4 linked regions of the Tribolium castaneum genome follow. Each later gene encodes a partner of the first gene's protein in a complex. Links are inferred from orthologs where the notes say so. Each region holds a gene or a part of one and is shown on either strand. Other genes may lie near its edges. The genes, in order: ncm; spliceosome-associated protein CWC27 homolog; RNA-binding motif protein, X-linked 2; eukaryotic initiation factor 4A-III.

The links.
Region 2: the proteins of ncm (region 1) and spliceosome-associated protein CWC27 homolog are in contact, whole or in part, in a crystal structure (PDB 6YVH), measured with the Homo sapiens proteins. The link is inferred for Tribolium castaneum from reciprocal best matches to the Homo sapiens genes CWC22 and CWC27. Residues at the interface, in NP_001362958.1 of Homo sapiens: Leu239, Arg242, Lys243, Tyr245, Arg246, Asn248, Asp249, Lys250, His270, Glu271, Val272, Leu275, Glu276, Thr279, Leu280, Leu281, Glu283, Arg284, Thr286, Asp288, Ser289, Val292, Val307, Ser308, Pro309, Arg310, Gly311, Thr367, Met369, Leu372; in NP_005860.2 of Homo sapiens: Arg381, Glu382, Asp383, Gln384, Thr385, Leu386, Leu388, Leu389, Phe392, Lys393, Lys395, Leu396, Thr397, Ile400, Glu412, Asp415, Asp416, Glu417, Gly418, Trp419, Met420, Ser421, His422, Val423, Leu424, Gln425, Phe426.
Region 3: ncm (region 1) and RNA-binding motif protein, X-linked 2 share a complex: the UniProt entries of both Homo sapiens proteins name them as parts of the minor spliceosome. The link is inferred for Tribolium castaneum from reciprocal best matches to the Homo sapiens genes CWC22 and RBMX2.
Region 4: the proteins of ncm (region 1) and eukaryotic initiation factor 4A-III are in contact, whole or in part, in a crystal structure (PDB 4C9B), measured with the Homo sapiens proteins. The link is inferred for Tribolium castaneum from reciprocal best matches to the Homo sapiens genes CWC22 and EIF4A3. Residues at the interface, in NP_001362958.1 of Homo sapiens: Thr129, Gly130, Gly131, Ala132, Tyr133, Pro135, Pro136, Ala137, Lys138, Arg140, Lys164, Asn167, Gly168, Ile170, Asn171, Lys172, Val173, Asn174, Ser176, Asn177, Ile180, Ile181, Glu184, Ala207, Ser208, Ile210, Phe211, Tyr215, Lys330, Arg331; in NP_055555.1 of Homo sapiens: Met43, Gly44, Ile72, Ile73, Lys74, Gly75, Gln98, Cys99, Met183, Gln213, Val256, Ala257, Glu259, Trp263, Asp266, Thr267, Asp270, Leu271, Tyr272, Asp273, Thr274, Leu275, Thr276, Ile277, Thr278, Gln279, Ala300, Asn301, Phe302, Thr303.

What each region holds. Positions count from the first base shown.
Region 1 is NC_087398.1:673,306-678,512, reverse strand, and holds ncm (pre-mRNA-splicing factor CWC22 homolog), read left to right. Parts: upstream 1-1,776; 5' UTR 1,777-1,905; coding exon 1,906-3,070; intron 3,071-3,248; coding exon 3,249-3,918; intron 3,919-3,976; coding exon 3,977-4,412; 3' UTR 4,413-4,458; downstream 4,459-5,207. UniProt on the Homo sapiens protein: Required for pre-mRNA splicing as component of the spliceosome. As a component of the minor spliceosome, involved in the splicing of U12-type introns in pre-mRNAs. Promotes exon-junction complex (EJC) assembly.
Region 2 is NC_087396.1:19,898,443-19,902,949, reverse strand, and holds spliceosome-associated protein CWC27 homolog, read left to right. Parts: upstream 1-1,864; 5' UTR 1,865-1,968; coding exon 1,969-2,010; intron 2,011-2,060; coding exon 2,061-2,602; intron 2,603-2,648; coding exon 2,649-2,758; intron 2,759-2,811; coding exon 2,812-3,025; intron 3,026-3,073; coding exon 3,074-3,515; 3' UTR 3,516-3,554; downstream 3,555-4,507. Other genes in the region: uncharacterized protein LOC658443, read right to left, coding at 853-907; transmembrane protein 209, read left to right, coding at 3,929-3,942, 3,991-4,128, 4,178-4,353, 4,403-4,507. UniProt on the Homo sapiens protein: As part of the spliceosome, plays a role in pre-mRNA splicing. Probable inactive PPIase with no peptidyl-prolyl cis-trans isomerase activity. As a component of the minor spliceosome, involved in the splicing of U12-type introns in pre-mRNAs.
Region 3 is NC_087396.1:22,564,625-22,568,478, reverse strand, and holds RNA-binding motif protein, X-linked 2, read left to right. Parts: upstream 1-1,794; 5' UTR 1,795-1,933; coding exon 1,934-1,947; intron 1,948-1,996; coding exon 1,997-2,783; 3' UTR 2,784-2,787; downstream 2,788-3,854. Other genes in the region: TBC1 domain family member 31, read left to right, coding at 1-182, 370-999, 1,047-1,669; mitochondrial tRNA-specific 2-thiouridylase 1, read right to left, coding at 2,788-3,381, 3,582-3,808. UniProt on the Homo sapiens protein: Involved in pre-mRNA splicing as component of the activated spliceosome. As a component of the minor spliceosome, involved in the splicing of U12-type introns in pre-mRNAs.
Region 4 is NC_087396.1:14,194,126-14,198,524, forward strand, and holds eukaryotic initiation factor 4A-III, read left to right. Parts: upstream 1-1,764; 5' UTR 1,765-2,052; coding exon 2,053-2,200; intron 2,201-2,252; coding exon 2,253-2,588; intron 2,589-2,642; coding exon 2,643-3,373; 3' UTR 3,374-3,470; downstream 3,471-4,399. Other genes in the region: Sf3b2 (splicing factor 3B subunit 2), read right to left, coding at 3,533-3,598, 3,646-3,943, 3,991-4,235, 4,290-4,399. UniProt on the Homo sapiens protein: ATP-dependent RNA helicase. Involved in pre-mRNA splicing as component of the spliceosome. Core component of the splicing-dependent multiprotein exon junction complex (EJC) deposited at splice junctions on mRNAs.

The sequences.
Region 1 (5,207 bases):
AGACGATATTTTTAGCTTTTAGTGCGACACATGCTAATGCTTGGAGGTGCATAATATTTTTATGGTAATGTTTCTTTTAAATGTTAAACAAATGACATCACGTTTACATAATTCCACGACCCAAAAAAATACAATACAATTTTTCGACGAAAACTAATTAGTAATTATTGCAGAAACATGTTAAAATGAGTAACGATAAGTGGTTTTTTAATGACTTATTTGGGTCGATAAGTTGACCACTAAAAGGTTTACTCATTATTGCGATTAGAGCAACGAGACGACTTTTGGAGGCCTTATTTTCGGTCTTGTTGCGCATTTTACGATAACCCTTTTGTGACCTTTTTATCGGAACTGCACCCAAAACTATAATTAAAATTCTTTCCCCTAACTACTCAAGCGAGTGGTCAATTAATTTCTAAAAAAAGAGCGATTTGTGCGAAATAATTATTTACCATGACTGCAAGTTCCACTTGTAATTATTCCAAGCAAGATGATTAACAAAAGTCGCAACCTTGGGCCCAGCACCTTTAGCACCTACACCAACCCGGCACGCTTTTTTACTTAGAAAAAGTACCAAAAATTGGGCAAAATTTTGGAAAAATGGGAGAGGAGAACGCGCACGGTATCGGCACCGAAAGGTTGAGAACCAACTGAATTGCTATAGCATGGGTACTCTCCATAAAGCAGCCTCGGGCTCTTTTGTACGGATTGGTTTCGTTGGTCGATCTTTGAAACAGCTGGAGCTGGGTTTAAGTTCACTTGGCAGTGACCTTGATGCCTCGAAAACGCTGCATTCGCACTGTTTATTGTTCAAACTGTTTAATAAAATATGGTACACGCAAACATTTCACATATTCATGGGAGGCCTCCGCGAAATTCCGCAAAATTAAAATGCGTGACCTTATCGTTCTCCGCGCCGATTTTTTAAAATCCACAAACTGAATAAAATACCTTGTAACACTTTCAGTATGCCGTAAAAACGCTCTTTTCACCGCGGAAGTATTGTTGAGAAATCTTTGATCGAACTTGTTATTGTGCCATAAAAATTTAATTGTACGCTAGAGCTGTTATTAGCCACTATTATCGGTTTTTGCTTGTTTTTGCACCAACAGCCATTTCTCTTCAAGAAAAAGCGAAAGTCTGTGTCAAGTTATTCATTTTATGGGAACACATTAAAAGTCGCTGTCGAAGTAAATATTCTGAAAATATCGCGACCTGAGAACCATAAGGTTCTGACTATTTCACAATTTTACAATATCATATCTTGTCTTCTCAATTGCCTGAAATGTTATCATAAAATATAACACGTATTATATGTTAATCTACAAACAAACAATACACAATACAAGAAAAAAATAGCAAACTTTTCAGACATGCTCTACTTAAAATTTTATTGTTTTGAACTTTTAAATCAATATTTAAGGTTCCAAAGTAACAAATTTTGCCAAAATTACTTCCATGTAGGTACTTTTTGTTTTCTATCAATAGCTAAACGTTACATCATCTAGTTTTCTTTTATTTAACATTTAAAGATCATTAAAATCCCAAAATTCCCAGGTCGTGATATATTTTTTAGGCAAACGTGACCCCCAAAATCACATTCAAATTTTTTTGAAATTTTAGATTTGTCACTAATTTAGTAAGTCTGTAAATTTTCAAATATGTCTGGAATTAATAAAACCACCAATTCCTGGCCCTCTAGTTATGTTATAATTGCGTAAACACGTACATATAATTAATTATAATTTATTCTAAATGCACAAAAAAATCTGGCGACTTTAAAATTCAAAAATAGTAGGGAATTTGTCATTATCACCAGTGCCACATAACCTCAACCTCTTGCGTTGTTGTGTGTTGTCAATAATCGCCCCAATTTCTTACTGTGTTTTTGTGAGTGCTTAAAAAATGACCACCGACACCGAAACCTCCCCACAGCCCAAACCCAAGCGTAAAAGCCGCTCCAAATCCCCTGAATCCCGTAAAAAACGTCGTGACGACTCGCCCCATAAAGACTCCCGGAAGCGTTCCCGCCGTTCGCGTTCACGAGACCGTCGCAAAAGTCGCAAATACCACGACTTGGACCGCCCCCTTGAAGAATACCCTCGGTATTACGGCGAGGATCAAGAACACAAGAAAAACAGCGATAGATATTGGACCAAATACCCCCGCAAGGATGACCATCAGGTGGGTAGTAGGTATTACGGGGGCGAGCCCGACGATAAAGACAAAGAGTCTGAGAAGGAGACGGATAAGTCGGTGATAGCCCCCCGTGAGCGCAAAACCGTGGATTTACTGACACGGACAGGTGGGGCTTACATCCCTCCAGCGAAGCTGCGGATGATGCAAGCGGAGATTACTGATAAGAGCTCGGCGGCGTATCAAAGAATTGCGTGGGAGGCGTTAAAAAAATCCATTCATGGGTTTATTAACAAGGTGAATACGTCCAACATTGGGATTATTTCGCGGGAATTGCTCCATGAGAATGTGGTAAGGGGGCGCGGACTGCTCTGCAAGTCCATAATACAAGCGCAAGCTGCGTCCCCAACTTTCACAAACGTGTACGCAGCCCTGGTCGCTGTCATCAATTCGAAATTCCCTAATATTGGAGAATTGTTACTGAAACGTTTGGTTTTGCAATTCAAGCGCGGTTTCAAGCAGAATAATAAAATTATCTGCATTTCGGCCACGACTTTTGTGGCTCATTTGGTTAATCAGAGGGTTGCGCATGAAATTCTCGCCTTGGAGATTTTGACTCTTTTGGTGGAGACGCCAACTGATGATTCGGTTGAAGTTGCGATTTCGTTTCTGAAGGAATGTGGACAGAAATTGACTGAGGTTTCGAGTAAAGGCATTAATGCCATCTTTGAAATGTTGAGGAATATTTTACATGAGGGGAAGTTGGAACCGAGGATTCAGTACATGATTGAAGTTATGTTCCAAATCAGGAAGGACGGGTTTAAGGATCATGCCGCTGTTATTGAAGAGTTGGATTTGGTGGATGAGGAGCACCAGTTTACACATTTGATTACGCTGGATGATGTTAAGCAATCAAATGCTGAGGATATTTTAAGTAAGGAAACTTTTTAATTAGGTGGAACTGTACTTAATTTTTTATACAAAAAAATCGGGGTATCCAGGTTTTGAGATTTTTTATTATTATTTTTTTATTTCTCAGAAAAAATTATTTTGAAATTTTAATTAATTAATTCCTTAATTTGCCTCGTTCACTCTGTGATTATCCTGTCTAGATGTGTTTAAATTCGACGACAACTACGAGGAAAACGAGGGGAAGTACAAGACTTTGAGCAAGGAAATCCTGGACATGGACAGCGAGTCGGGCTCCGGCTCGGAGGAAGAGTCCGGTGACGAGGAAGACGACGAAGACGAGGACGAAGAGGAAGAAGAAGGCGCCCAAAAGAACGAATCCAACATAATCGACAATACGGAGACCAACCTCGTGGCCCTACGCAGAACAATCTACTTAACCATCCAATCAAGTTTAGATTTTGAGGAAAGTGCCCACAAACTAATGAAAATGGAACTGAAACCGGGCCAAGAAATCGAATTATGCCACATGTTCCTCGACTGTTGTGCCGAACAACGGACTTACGAGAAGTTTTACGGATTATTGGCACAGAGATTTTGTCAAGTGAATCAGATTTATGTCGAGCCATTCCAACAAATCTTCAAAGACACGTACGCCACAACACACAGACTTGACACAAATAAATTGCGAAATGTTAGCAAGTTTTTCGCACATTTGTTGTTCACCGATGCGATTGGATGGGAGGTTTTAGAAATTATGAAACTGAACGAAGAGGATACCAATAGTTCCAATCGGATTTTCATCAAGATTTTGTTCCAGGAATTGGCCGAATATATGGGCTTGGAGAAGTTAAATGCCAGGCTTAAAGATGCGTAAGTGACTGTGTTTGATAATTAACGAGGTTTTGTTAATTTTTTGGATTTTTTTCAGAACGCTTCAGCCACATTTTGAGGGGCTGTTTCCGCGCGATGATCCCAAAAATACAAGATTTGCGATTAATTTTTTCACGTCGATTGGCTTAGGGGGGCTTACGGCCGAGTTGAGGGAACATTTGAAAACAGCCCCTAAAGTCAATCCCTTGACGATTACTGAAAAATCAAGTGATTCTAGCAGCAGTAGCACTAGCAGTTCAAGCTCATCCAGTTCCGATAGTAGTGATTCGGATTCGTCAAGTTCCGAAGATGAGAAACCACGTAAGAAGAAGGAAGAAAAGAAGAGGAAAAAACCGACAAAAGAAGCATCAGACGATGATAAAAAACGAAAAACAGATGCGAGGAAACACAGACATAATGAGAGACGGTCACGCGATCGAGACGATCGGAGGCGGCGTAGGAGCCCCGAGAGGAAGCATAAGAGTAGGAGATAAGTTACTTTGTACATAAATTGTATTGAATAAATATTTTTATTTGTGACTTGTGTTTGATTCCTTAAAGTTACCAGATTTGAATTTGGCGCTTAGTCAAACCCACACTTTTGGCATTTTTTTTGACGAAATGTGGGTGTTAATTAAATTGCGTGTTTGTGCTTTTGCTAAAATGAGACAAATTTGGGTGAAAATTTTAATTTTGGGTTAGTTTTAACTGAAAATTTGGGTGAACAAGGCTTGGTGGTTTTTGTTGGCGAGGTTGGCAAGCAGTTTCGTCGGGTCCGAGCTGTCATTTTGTGTGTCACTAATTTTTGTTCATTGTGTAGTAAATTGGTGCTATCGTGTTAAAAACAATAAATCCGATCAAAGGTATTTTTATGAGGAAGAAAAACAGTAATCGTATTAGTGCAACGTGAGCTATTTAACCAAAGTAAGTAGCTAGAGCCAAGTCGGTAGGTTAGATGAGTGGAGACGATGTTTTTTTTATTATGTCAAATGCGTCATTCGCATTAAAGTAAATCTCAATGTTTCGTGTCGGATTGTAACGGGGTCCTGGACCTGTTGATTGAGGCGTTCGCGGGGCCCCTGAAAAGTCAGCTGATTTCGGACAACGACGCCCTTGAACCCCGGAGCCTTGAGAGCCATACGCCCCCTTCTTTTTTAATTCCACGACACGGTTATCAGCTCTCTTATGTGTTATAGGTCATTGCTGTGAAGCCCCTATCGGGGATTAAAGCCGCACAGACTGGCTTGCATAAACAGATAATTACGAACGTAGTTATGACCACTCGACAA
Region 2 (4,507 bases), on another chromosome or scaffold:
ATAAATATCAAGCAACATAATTTTATGTAACTTATTAATTAGTTGGAAAAGTTTGAAACTTTGATCAAATTATTAGAAAAATATTTCTTATTTTTATGCAGAGGTTCATGTCAGGTCTACTCATCCAGAACTCTGTTATCAGTGTTTAATATTTGTTTTGTAATTTATAATTACAGTGATAATTCGATACGTATTTTTGCAGAGGTACAAAGACGTGGCCAATCAATCAATATTTGACAAAGATCCTGCGTAAATCAAGTCTTAATAATAATTCTAATCGATTTAAAAATTGGTGGGATTGAGGACGAGATTATTTTTCCATTATTAGTTATTTTTGACACCAAATACGTGGGTATTTGAAGCCGGATCTAGTTTTTGAAATTGTAAAAATAATAGTACCTACCACAGTAGTATTTTAGTTTTTTATTTTGGTTATTTGGTTAATAAATTCAAACTGACCCTGAAATTCTATTAACATCTTGCCACATGCCACCAGAATTATTAAAAAATAAATATTACGTTGTCGTAAATAAAACAAAAAGCCGTAAATACAAACAATTAAACACCGTAAAATATGTACAATAAAAAAATAAATTTCATTTCAAACATGCTACAAAACGATTTTAATTCTCTCCAAGAAATACTTTATATTGAACAAAATAGTGTTTGATGAGAATGAGTTTAATTATATGCATGTTAATTGGGCGATAAGACTGATAACTCGTCCGAAGACAATGCTATGAGAAAAGAGTTTAATTTTAAAACGCACAATAAAATAATTCTCTTGAAATAATGCCAACCTGTCAAGCCAAAGTCCGGAGAATAATTCCGCCGAAAAAATTCGCGCATTACCTTGTAAAACCGTAAAAATTTTCATTTGTATCGCACTTGTGCCACATACTTCCATTGCAAACACACTCACAAAAACGCTCTTTACAGTCCAAGTTCATTGCATGTTCTGACCCAATTATAACAATAACAAATTTTCGAAATTGTTTATATTATGTTAATTAAATTGATAACAATTTGAGCCGATTCTCTAAACATTTGGGCAAATAAATCAGCTATATTTACCTTCAACTAAAGTTCCAGACTCCAACATATCTCTCCGCGACCAAACAACAATAACATAATATTCACACGTTTAGGAAGTCCTCGCAGACAGGTGTATACTCATATTTATAATACCAACACTTATCTGTGAGAATTTTCTGTAAACTTTTATCATTGGATTTCTTTATCTTGCGTGAAACGCGCGCTGTGGCTCAATGGTGATTCTCCCCGCTTTTAGTCGAGAACTAATTCTAATTTTAGTTGGACACAAGTACTTGAATTTCGAGTTCACTTTTAAGCTAACACAGTTTGACAATATATTTAATTCAACAAGCGTTTAGTTCTAATCTGGAGAACGTTTGATTTAGATAAGTCTGCGATAGACAGACAATATTGATATCATAAGTATAACACAAAATAAACAACAATTAGTTACTGCCTAATCTGTTTTAGTTTTCACTTTCCGATTATTTTTCACTGTCACCATGTGGAAAACTAACGATAAAGGGGAAAGTTCAAGTCCAATTCCAGAAAATTTAAATTTGACCTCATTGTTTTTTTAATTCTTTATTGTCGCGCAATTCTTACTATTATACGTATTTATTCAAATCTTAAAATAAAAAGATAATAATAGCATCTGGCGCTCCTTCGTTTATTTCCTTATTTATCCTATTGAAAAAAAAATTGTTATGAAACAATTAAAACAGTGAAGTATTTGAAAAAAACTGAACTCAATTCATACACAAAACCATGACTTTGAATTTGTATTTTTTTTAAGAACAAAATTTGAAAAACCAAATTTTAAATTGTGACTAAGGTGGCGAAGCTTGGCACTTTAAACACAACCAAACTTCGTAGCTTAACCTCATTCTTTGACACTTGTCAAAATATAATAAACATTCTAAAGTTTTAAAAATGAGTAGTGTTTATATTTTGGAGCCCCCAACTTCGGGAAAGGTATTTAATCGTTCGTCTTACGAACACTACAATCAAATTTTTCGTCTCAGGTGTTGTTGAAAACAACAGTTGGTGACATAGACGTCGAATTGTGGGCAAAAGAAACGCCAAAAACCTGCCGCAACTTCATACAATTGTGCCTTGAGGGCTATTACGACAACACTATCTTCCACAGGGTTGTTAAGGGCTTTATAGCCCAAGGGGGTGACCCAAATGGTGACGGTACAGGCGGAGAGTCAATCTATGGAGAGCCCTTCAAAGATGAGTTTCACCAAAGACTCCGCTTTACGCGAAGAGGGTTGCTTGCGATGGCCAACGGGGGCAAGGACGACAACGGGTCTCAGTTTTTCTTCACCCTGGGGGCGACTCCCGAATTGCAAGACAAACACACGATTTTTGGGAAAATTACCGGAGACACGATTTTTAATATGCTCAAGCTTGAGGATGGGTTAATAAGGGACGAAAGGCCGATCTACCCTCACAAAATCATTAAAACGGAAGTTTTGAACAATCCATTTGCCGACATCCAACCCAGGCTTAGACAGGTTGAGGTGAAGGAGAAGAAAAAGAAAGAGAAAAAGCCAGGAGTCAAGTCAGTCAAATATTTTGTGTAATTTGTTGTAAAATCATTGTTGTAGGAATTTTAAGTTATTGTCGTTTGGGGAAGAGGCTGAGGAAGATGAGGAAGAGTCAACGAGGGTCAATGAAAAGTTTGTGGGCAAAGGCAAATCCACACACGATGTGTTAGGTACACAGTTCAAATAATTGGTGTGGAAATGTTTTAATTAAATTTAATTGAAGATGATCCCAAATTGAGCTCTAAAACGGAGGACGTAGATGAGGAGAATGATGACGTGGAAGAAGTTAATCCAGAAGAACAGTTAGAGAGCATCAGAAAGAAACTAAAAAGAGAACACAAAAAACCTGTACCAACTTCCACAACAACGGCGGAACCGATAGATACATATGAGTCATTCCTAGAGGAAGAGAGGCGCGAGAAAAAGAAAAAACAATTGTGAGTGACTATTAATTATTTTTCTATTTTCGATTAATTTATTTACAGTGAGGAGATCCAAAAAGAAATCCAGAACGTTAAAAAGGAATACCATAAAAATAAGTTGAAAAAGAAGGAAGAGGACATAATTGCAACCGAGAAGAAGGTCCAAGAAGACAAGACAATACAAGAGTACAAAGACGAGTTCGATAAATACAAAAATAAAAAAGACGCATTACCTAAAAAGGGAGCTGGGAGAGAACAGTTCACTTTGAATTTGTTGGAAAAGTTCAAAAAGAAGATACAGTCAATGAAAGACGGGGAAGAGAATGAAGAAGACAATGAGGAAGAACAAGCGTGGTTGAAGCACAGACTGTGCTTCCAGGACAAAAACCCAGTCTTGGCAAAAGACGCCAATAGAAAAGATGACGATTGGTTTGAAATTTACGATCCTAGAAACGCTTTGAATAAACGACGACGTGGAGAAACCGTGGAGAAGTTCAAGAAATAGTGTTGTTTGCTATATTAAAAATAAAGATTTGTAATTTTATGCGACCTTTTTTTTCCCGCCTTATCCTGGTGTAGCAAAGGCTCCAAAGAGCAAAAACTTCAAATAAACGTAAAGTTCGAGTTTTTTACCTACATTTTACCATTCTAGCACTCGCTTTAATAACAATCACATTAGTATTATTAATGACTCTACTATAGTTTGTGTTAAATTAATAAATTATTATTAATTAATTAAATTATTATTTTAGTTGTTACATATTATAAGACTCTATGCGCGTAGGATTATATGAGCAGATGCGCGCGTTTTCGGAATTGAGGTTACGTTTTTAATTTTGTGGGACCGGTGTTTGATGTTAAACTAGTATGAAAAATTAATGAAACTTTTGTGTACGTGAATAGACAATAGTGAGAAGCATGAGTGTGTGCACGTAAGTAAAAAACCATCAGTATTAAGAAAAACAGCTGATTATTTTTAGACCAAATCGTAACGTTTTAAACAACTCTTTTGCACTAGAACGGAGCCTTTCCGTGAATAAAACACGGCGAACTGTGCGTAAAAGCTTCATCTGGGGCTCCGTGAACCTCCTTATACTTGCAGTCCTTCTTTATGATATGTAACAAACTGCTCACTTAACCTTCTTTTTCCCATAACTGTGTTTTTAGAGCAAATTCATGTCCTTTGTACACTGATATTTACGACTATATCAAATATGCGTTCGTTCTGATAGTAAGCATAAATCTCTTGTACTATGCTGCAAAAATTATGATCTCAAATTTCAATCATGAGCAAATACCAATCACTTTGGAGCAGAAGAAACTGTTAGGAATCAGTGATTCAGGTTTGGGTGCGGAACTTAGAAAAAGGGGAGTGTTAATTATGTTTTTTAGACCCAAATTTTAAAGTTGTTGATAAGTTACATGCGCCAACAGCTCAAACACCTTCACATTCGTTTTCAAATAGTCCTAGTCCTCCAAGTTCGCCACTGTCCAGCA
Region 3 (3,854 bases), on another chromosome or scaffold:
CCGCAAATACCCGCTTGAAAACAAGCGAAACCTCAAAAACCTCAAACAACTGTTGGATAATTTGGTCACGTGGTGTCCCTTCTTCCTCAACGTGGATTATTTGCCACTTTTTGTGTTCCCCTTTGTCAAGGTTTTTATTAACAAGCCGTTGACGTGTTTTGAGGCCGTTTGCACGATAATTTGTAAGTGTTTTTTTATTCAATGAGCGGCAAAATTATGGAATAGTCTTATTAAAACTGAAAATATTTAAAATCTCATTGTTTTCAAACTGTTTTTGCTACAACAAAATATTTCTAATTAAGATTTTTCCATATTTTTGTTGATCCGGCTCGAAGGACCACACTATGGGTACTGAGTGAATAATCGCAGTGAACTGGTGTCAATTCTGGTTCGAGTACTTCCCTCTCCCTCCAATCAACATACTTGCGATGATTGAAAACGTCCTAATGGTACACGACCCCGAACTTTTGGACTTCCTAACCAGAAAAAAAGTCTCTTCCGAATTGTACGCATGGCCGATTTTGCGAACTGCATTTTCCGAGGTTTTGACAGCGCCATCCTGGAAAATTTTCTGGGACCATGTTTTAACAAACGAACCTTCGTTTCTACTGTGTGGAGTCGTGGCTTACAATATTTTACAACGAACCTCCATTTTGAGTCTTAAAGACGATAAACAATTTCGGTGTTTTTACAAAACGCATCATCCCATAGATGTTAAAAAATTGCTAACGAAAAGTTACCACATTTTGGCCAAGACGGGCGAGGCCGTGCACCCACGGCAATATTTGAACATGTTCAAGAAAATTAATTTGGGGGAATACCCCAATTTTTGTGATTACCCCAAAACCATGATCGAGATGTCGGATAAAGAGGCCGAGATGAAGAGAGAGATGGCGGGGTTGAAAACAGACGAGGTTGATTTGTTCAGACGCCGATTGATTAGTTTGGAGCGGTTGCAAAATTTCGAAGTGGAGGAAGAAGAGAATAAGCGAATTTTGGGTAAGTTTTTGTACATTTTTTGGGGTTTTAATTAAATAAATTGTCAGAAATGGAACGCGCGATTCGTAATCAATTGTTGGAGGAGCAAACCCGTGTCCAGGAGTACTACGAAAGGGTGGCCAACCTGCGCGAAAAATTCCACCAAGAAGACAAAATTTTGGCCTCCTTAAGACACCAAATAGCGAAGGAACAGCAATTGAAAAGCCGCCGAAAATACCTATCGTCGATTATGGACGATGTCAGGTTCCGAAAAGGCGAGAAAGGTTACGCCTTGACCAAGACCGAGGACGAACTCCTCTTCCACTATGCCGAACTTTTGAAAAACAAGTACAAAATCGAAAAGTTACTAAACACTGATGAAGTTGTCACAAGTACAAAACTATCAGTTGATCAACAACAGGAACAATTATCGAACGAAATCAATTTTGTGCGGAGTAGTGAAGAGCCCCGCAAACATTTGAAGATGTTAAATCTGACAACGGGGCTTGAAGCCATGGATGCTCTAATCGAAAAAGTCGAAAGTGAGCTGGAAAAACAAAAGAGCGGGAGTGACAGTGATGCCGATCGACGCGTTGTCGCCCTGCAAGCGGAAAGCAAAGAGTTGGCGTTGAAAATTGCCAATTTAATCGAGCTACTTGCCAATTTAAGGAGTGAGGAAGTGGGCGGATAGCACAATCAATTTTATTATAAGTTGTATCGTTTCTATTTATACGTTTTATGATCTCATATGCACCTGTGATATGTTTTTAAACGGCAATAAATTTACAAACCGATGTGAAGTCGCCTTAATAGTTCCAGCCGCGGTGTGAATGCACCTTAACGCAATTAACACAAACGTCAAACGTACGTCAAATACCTAACCTATTTTTTGAACATTTGTTTTATTTGTATTTGTTCATGTTTTTCGGGGTCAGAGGCCCCACAATCACGCACCATGAATCCGTTAACGTAAGTATTGTCGATTTTTTGCCCCAATTTTGCGAAGTTGTCTTTCCAGGAACATGAAAAATGTGAAGAAACTGAGCGAACAGGAGCTCTACACCGGTAATAAAACCTCCTGGCATGACCAATACAGGGACAGTGCGTGGGTTTTCATCGGCGGTTTGCCCTTCGACCTGACCGAGGGCGACATAATTTGCATTTTCTCGCAGTATGGCGAAGTGGTGAACATAAACCTGATCAGGGATAAGGACTCGGGCAAGTCAAAGGGCTTCTGTTTCCTGTGCTACGAGGACCAAAGATCGACCGACTTGGCCGTTGATAATTTCAACGGAATCAAAATCTTGAACAGGACGATACGAGTCGACCACGTCAGTAACTACAAGGTGCCCAAACAGGGCAAGAAAACGGACGCTGAGACGAAGAAACTGTACGATGAGGGCTGTGCCCCCAAGGCCGTCCCTGTGCAAGTTCCTGTCAAAGCGCCAGTGAAGATTAAAACAGACCCTGACGATTTTCGCGAAACACTGGCCGACCAGATTAATTCTGAGATCAAGTTGCCTGAGCGCTTGCCCATTTACACGATAAAAAAGGAGAAAGTGGACGAGGAGGCGCCGCCGGAGCCTGTTGTCACGAAAGAGAAGAAGGAAAAGAAACACAAGAAGGAGAAAAAGAAGAAGAAGAAAAAGAAGTCGGACGAAAACAGCAGCGAATCCGATTCAGATAGGAAGAAGAAAAAGAAGAAGAAGGGCGAGTCAGGGTCGGATTACTCCGCTGAAGACAGCGTGTCAGAGGACGAGGATAGGAGGAAGCGGTCGCGGAGTCCGAATAAGAAAAAGCGCTGATTTACTAACATCTATTTACAGCTCTGTGCTTCATATCTTCATTATCAGTAAGCTCGTCTTCACCTTGCGTCACATTGACATATTTTTTCAAAATGTGGGAGACACTCCCTAGACCATTATTCTCCAAATAATATAGCGAGAAGTGTGAAACTCCCGTGTTAATTATTCGAGCCCCTCCGAGACACTCGCCATCTTTCGACAAGACAGCGAACTGTCCCGGAGTGATGGCCCTCTTGTACCTATTCACTTTAATAATCAGTCCTTTACTTGTTTGGCACACCTGGCATTTGACCCAATATTTGGTGTGTTGGAACTTGAAATCGCACTCCAAAACCCCGTTTTGTAAATCAGGGGGCTGTGAGTGGATCCAGTGGGGCTCACTGGTCAAAATTATGTTCGTGTAAAGTAACGGGTGTTTTGTCCCTTTGACTACGTAAATTATGTTCTTGTCTACGTCTTTCCGGGCCACGAAATAAGGGCTTTCGTAGCTGTGGAGGCGCGCCCTTTGCCCCAAAGTCCACTGGTGCACCCCATTGTGTTGACCCACGACTTTCGCAGTGTCAACGTCCACGAAATCGCCCGGTTTATCATCAATATACTGAAAAAAATGTTTAGTCAAGTGACCAGTGCAAAGCTTCTTTGACCAATGACAGGCCTCCCTTCACCTAGAGGGAGCCACGTTAGTGCTTGACTACAATATTTTTTTTAATTAAAAAAAATTTATAAAACTTCGAAAACAACAAAAATTAAAGTAAGAAATAATTGGCCAATCACGGAAGCTGTGAACTAATCACTTACTTCTCTAATAAAGTCTTGAAATTTGCGATTGCCGATAAAACAGATCCCCATACTCTCCTTCTTCCTTGCGATTTTTTCAAGTCCGTTTTCCCTTGCAATTTTTTTCACTTCCGGCTTCATTAAATCGCCCAATGGGAACATTGTACGTTGCAAAGCTTCTTGATTGACTTGGCACAAGAAGAACGTTTGGTCTTTGAACCAATCAACTGCGTTTAGTAGTCTTACCCCTGTTTTTTTGTTGTAATAAATTGTTTTTTTTTTTGACTGGATACA
Region 4 (4,399 bases), on another chromosome or scaffold:
TGTAGACTATTGTAAACATGTACTTTGACATACCATACTTAGATGTCGCCGCTTACGTTTTTTTTGTTTTTAATTTTTTTATGTAATCTAAAAAATTTAATAAAGATATATTAAAAATTTTATAAAATTTGTGATTTACAAAATGCGTAATATCTTCGTTCCTGTAGAAGATAGAGGGGTGGTTCTGCCCTTTTAAAGCCCCTACCGCCCCGTAGTATTTTTCCTGCGCTATCAAATGGAATAGGTCTCGTTCCTGTATCTCTATCAGAAACCGCAATAGCATTGCACATTTTTAAATCGGTAATCGGAGTACATCACGTAATAGTGCCTCAAAAGTTACGTGTGAATGCAGAATTTCAAGTTGCTACGATAACAGGAAGTGTTTCAAAATTAACTCGTAACATATGATTCCAAATAAATCACATTATTTAAAAGCTTTTAACAAAAAATCTAGTTTTTTATTAGCAGTTTTTATTGAACTTTCTTCCGGATTTATAAATATTTTGAACTTAAATTTGGGAGACTTCCTGTTGTCGTAACAACTTGAAATTTTGCATGTCCACGTAACTTTTGGAGCCCTATTACGTCATGTACTTCGATTCTCGATTAAAAAATGTGCAATGCTATTTCGGTTCCTGATGGAGATACGGGAACAGGACCTAGCCTATTCGATAGCCCAGGAAAAATACTACGGGGCGGTAGGGTTTTCAAAAGGGCAAAACCACCCCTCTATCTCCTACAGGAACGAAGATATTTCGCATTTTGTGAAATACAAGATTTCCTTAAATTTCTATAAAAATTTTGAAATGTGAAAGAAAATTTTAGGTTGTTTACAAAATTTTTATAAAAATTGAAGAAAATCTTGTAATTCACAAAATCTTAAATATCTCCGTTCCTGTAGGAGATAGAGGGGTGGTTCTGCCCTTTTGAAAACCCTACCGCCCCGTAGTATTTTTCCTGGGCTATCGAATGGAATAGGTCCCGTTCCCGTATCTCCATCAGGAACCGAGATAGCATTGCACATCTTTAAATCAACAACCGAAGTACATTACGTAATAGTGCTCCAAAAGTTATGTGTGCATGCAAAATTTCAAGTTGCTACGATAACAGGAAGTGTCTTAAATTTAAGTTCAAAATATTTATAACTCCGAAAGACAAACAAAGCAAGTTGAATAAAAATTCTAATAAAAAACTACAGCTTGTTTGTTCACAGACTTTATTTAATGCGATTTATTTTGAATCATATTTTACGAGTTAATTTTGAGGCACTTCCTGTTGTCGTAGCAACTTCAAATTTTGCATGCACACGTAACTTTTGGAGCACTATTACGTCATGTACTTCGATTCCCGATTAAAAAATGTGCAATGCTATTTCGGTTCCTGATGGAGATACGGGAACGGGACCTAGCCTATTCGATAGCCCAGGAAAAATACTACGGGGCGGTTGGGTTTTCAAAAGGGCAAAACCACCCCTCTATCTTGTACGAGAACGAAGATATTTCGCATTTTGTAAATTACAAATTCTATAAAATTTTTACTAGATCTTTATTACATTTTTTAGATTACACAAAAAAATTAAAACCAAAAAACGTAAGCGGCGACATCTGAGTATGGTAGGTCAAAGTACATGTTTACAGTAATCTAGAAAAAAATTGTGTGCCATCTATGGGTTGCTACAGTAACCTATAAATTGTATTTTTTTAACAGTATGCACAGGCAACCAATTATACAAGACAATCTTGTATATTGCCTACTATTAAGTGGACGCCATATTTTTGTCAAATGTCAAAAAACGCTAAAAGACGTAGCGACTCGCGTGCAAACAACATTAAACGGGCGAAAAAGTGTTTAAAAGTTAGTAAAGGTGAAAAATAAGTGTTTTATTTCTCTCAATACTACAAACAAACCAGTTGGGGACGTGCAAGTGGCCCCAAAAATGCAAACACCTTTGTGAAAGACAGGTGCCCCAAGTGTTGTGCTTCAGTGAACTGGACATTCAATTAAATCATCTAAACTTTACTTTAACACACGTTCTAATTTCTGACGGAGGCAATGGCTGTCGCAAAACCTTCAAACCGCAATGCGGCTTTCGAAGACTTGTCGAACGTTGAGTTCGAAACCAGCGAAGATGTGGAAGTCATCGAGCAATTTAAGAATATGCACCTGAAGGAGGAGCTCCTTCGCGGTGTCTTTGCATATGGTAATAGGAAAATGTGGGTCAGTGCGGCTCGGATTGAGGTCATTGCTTTCAGGTTTTGAGAAACCATCAGCTATCCAACAGAGGGCTATCAAGCCGATAATAAAGGGCCGAGATGTTATCGCTCAAGCCCAGTCAGGTACCGGCAAAACGGCCACATTCTCGATCGCTATTTTGCAGTCGCTTGACTTGCAAACGCGGGAAACCCAAGTACTTTGCTTGTCGCCAACGAGGGAGTTGGCCGTGCAAATCCAGAAAGTTATCCTGGCTTTGGGGGACTTTATGAACGTGCAGTGTCACGCCTGCATTGGTGGGACCAATCTGGGAGAGGATATCAGGAAGCTGGATTATGGGCAACATGTTGTTAGTGGAACACCTGGAAGAGTTTACGGTACTTATAATTATCTTATAAATAATTTCCCCTACCAAAAAACTTAATTTTCAGACATGATCAGACGGCGCGCCCTTAGGACCAGGTCCGTCAAAATGCTGGTTTTGGACGAAGCCGACGAAATGTTAAACAAAGGCTTCAAGGAGCAAATCTACGACGTTTACAGGTTCCTGCCGCCCTCCACTCAAGTCGTGTTGATTTCTGCGACTTTGCCCCACGAGATTTTGGAGATCACGTCGAAGTTCATGACGGACCCGATCCGTATTTTGGTAAAACGTGATGAATTAACTCTTGAAGGCATCAAGCAATTTTTCGTCGCGGTTGAGCGTGAGGAGTGGAAATTTGACACACTTTGTGACTTGTACGATACTTTAACCATCACGCAAGCTGTTATCTTTTGCAACACTAAACGCAAAGTCGATTGGTTGACTGAAAAAATGCGCGAAAACAATTTCACCGTGAGTTCCATGCACGGTGATATGCCCCAGAAGGAGAGAGATAATATTATGAAGGAGTTCAGGTCGGGACAGAGTCGTGTACTTATCACGACCGATGTGTGGGCGAGAGGTATCGACGTCCAGCAAGTCAGTTTGGTCATTAATTACGATTTGCCGAACAACCGTGAGTTGTACATTCACCGTATTGGGCGATCTGGCAGGTTTGGTAGAAAGGGTGTTGCGATTAATTTCGTCAAGTCGGACGATATCAGGATTTTGCGGGATATTGAGCAGTATTATTCCACACAGATTGACGAAATGCCGATGAATGTCGCTGATTTAATTTAAACGAATAACATTTTTTATGTCCTTATATTATGTAAGAAGTTTGTGTAATAATTAATTAATTAATATGGGAAGTAATAAACGACTATGATTTTTCCTACTCCTAATATTTCTCTCGCCAAATTAAAATCAGAATGACAAATATTCATACCAGAAAATGCACTAAAACTTGAATTCTTTGTATTTTTTCGTTTGTTTTGTGTCCTGTTGTTGGCGCTTGCGTTTATTCTAAAACGAAACAATTAGGTAAATCAACAAATTACACAATATGTTACCTTTTGTTTGGCGACGTGCTCAGCTAACATATCACTGAGATCTTCCTTCTGCAGCTGTGACTGGTTTTCCCTCATTTGTTGTTCGTAACGAACCGCCATTGCATCGCTATCCATATCCAACTCAGACGGATCAAGAGCCAACTCAACCATTCCTTCCTTGTCCCCTGGTTTGCGACTAGTTGCAGGGGCTGCGCCCACAGCAGACATGTCGTAAACGTGGCTGCTCCCCATCATGGAACCACCTATTCTCTCATTGCGTTTTTCGGGAATGACATGATACAAAATCGGGTTTTCACCCCTACAAAACAATTTAAAATACCCCCCTAGAGACAAAATAATTCTTACTGTTCCATTTCGCTCTCGATTTTCTTTTTCCTCAATTCTATAGCTTCGGGTGTTTCCATGCCAGTTGGCACGCTTGTGAGACCACTAGGTGTCACCAAGCCCTCAGCTGGAGTAACAAGACCGGATTCGTCAGCGGCGTTTTGTTGGTTGTCTTGGTCTTCCTCCTCTTCCTCATCCTCCTCCTCTGATTCGGACTCGAGCTCGCCCCAGAGGGTGCGATCCACGGAAGGGTCCTCACCAATGTCCTAAACATTGATATTTGAACAAAATTCAATAAAACAATATTATAAAATACTTACATCTATGTTGGTAACATTTGTTCCAAACACATCACCGTACAATGGTTTTCCATTTTCGTCCACCGGTGGTTTTCCCCACCCACCGGCATGGTACCCAAAGGCACAACCAT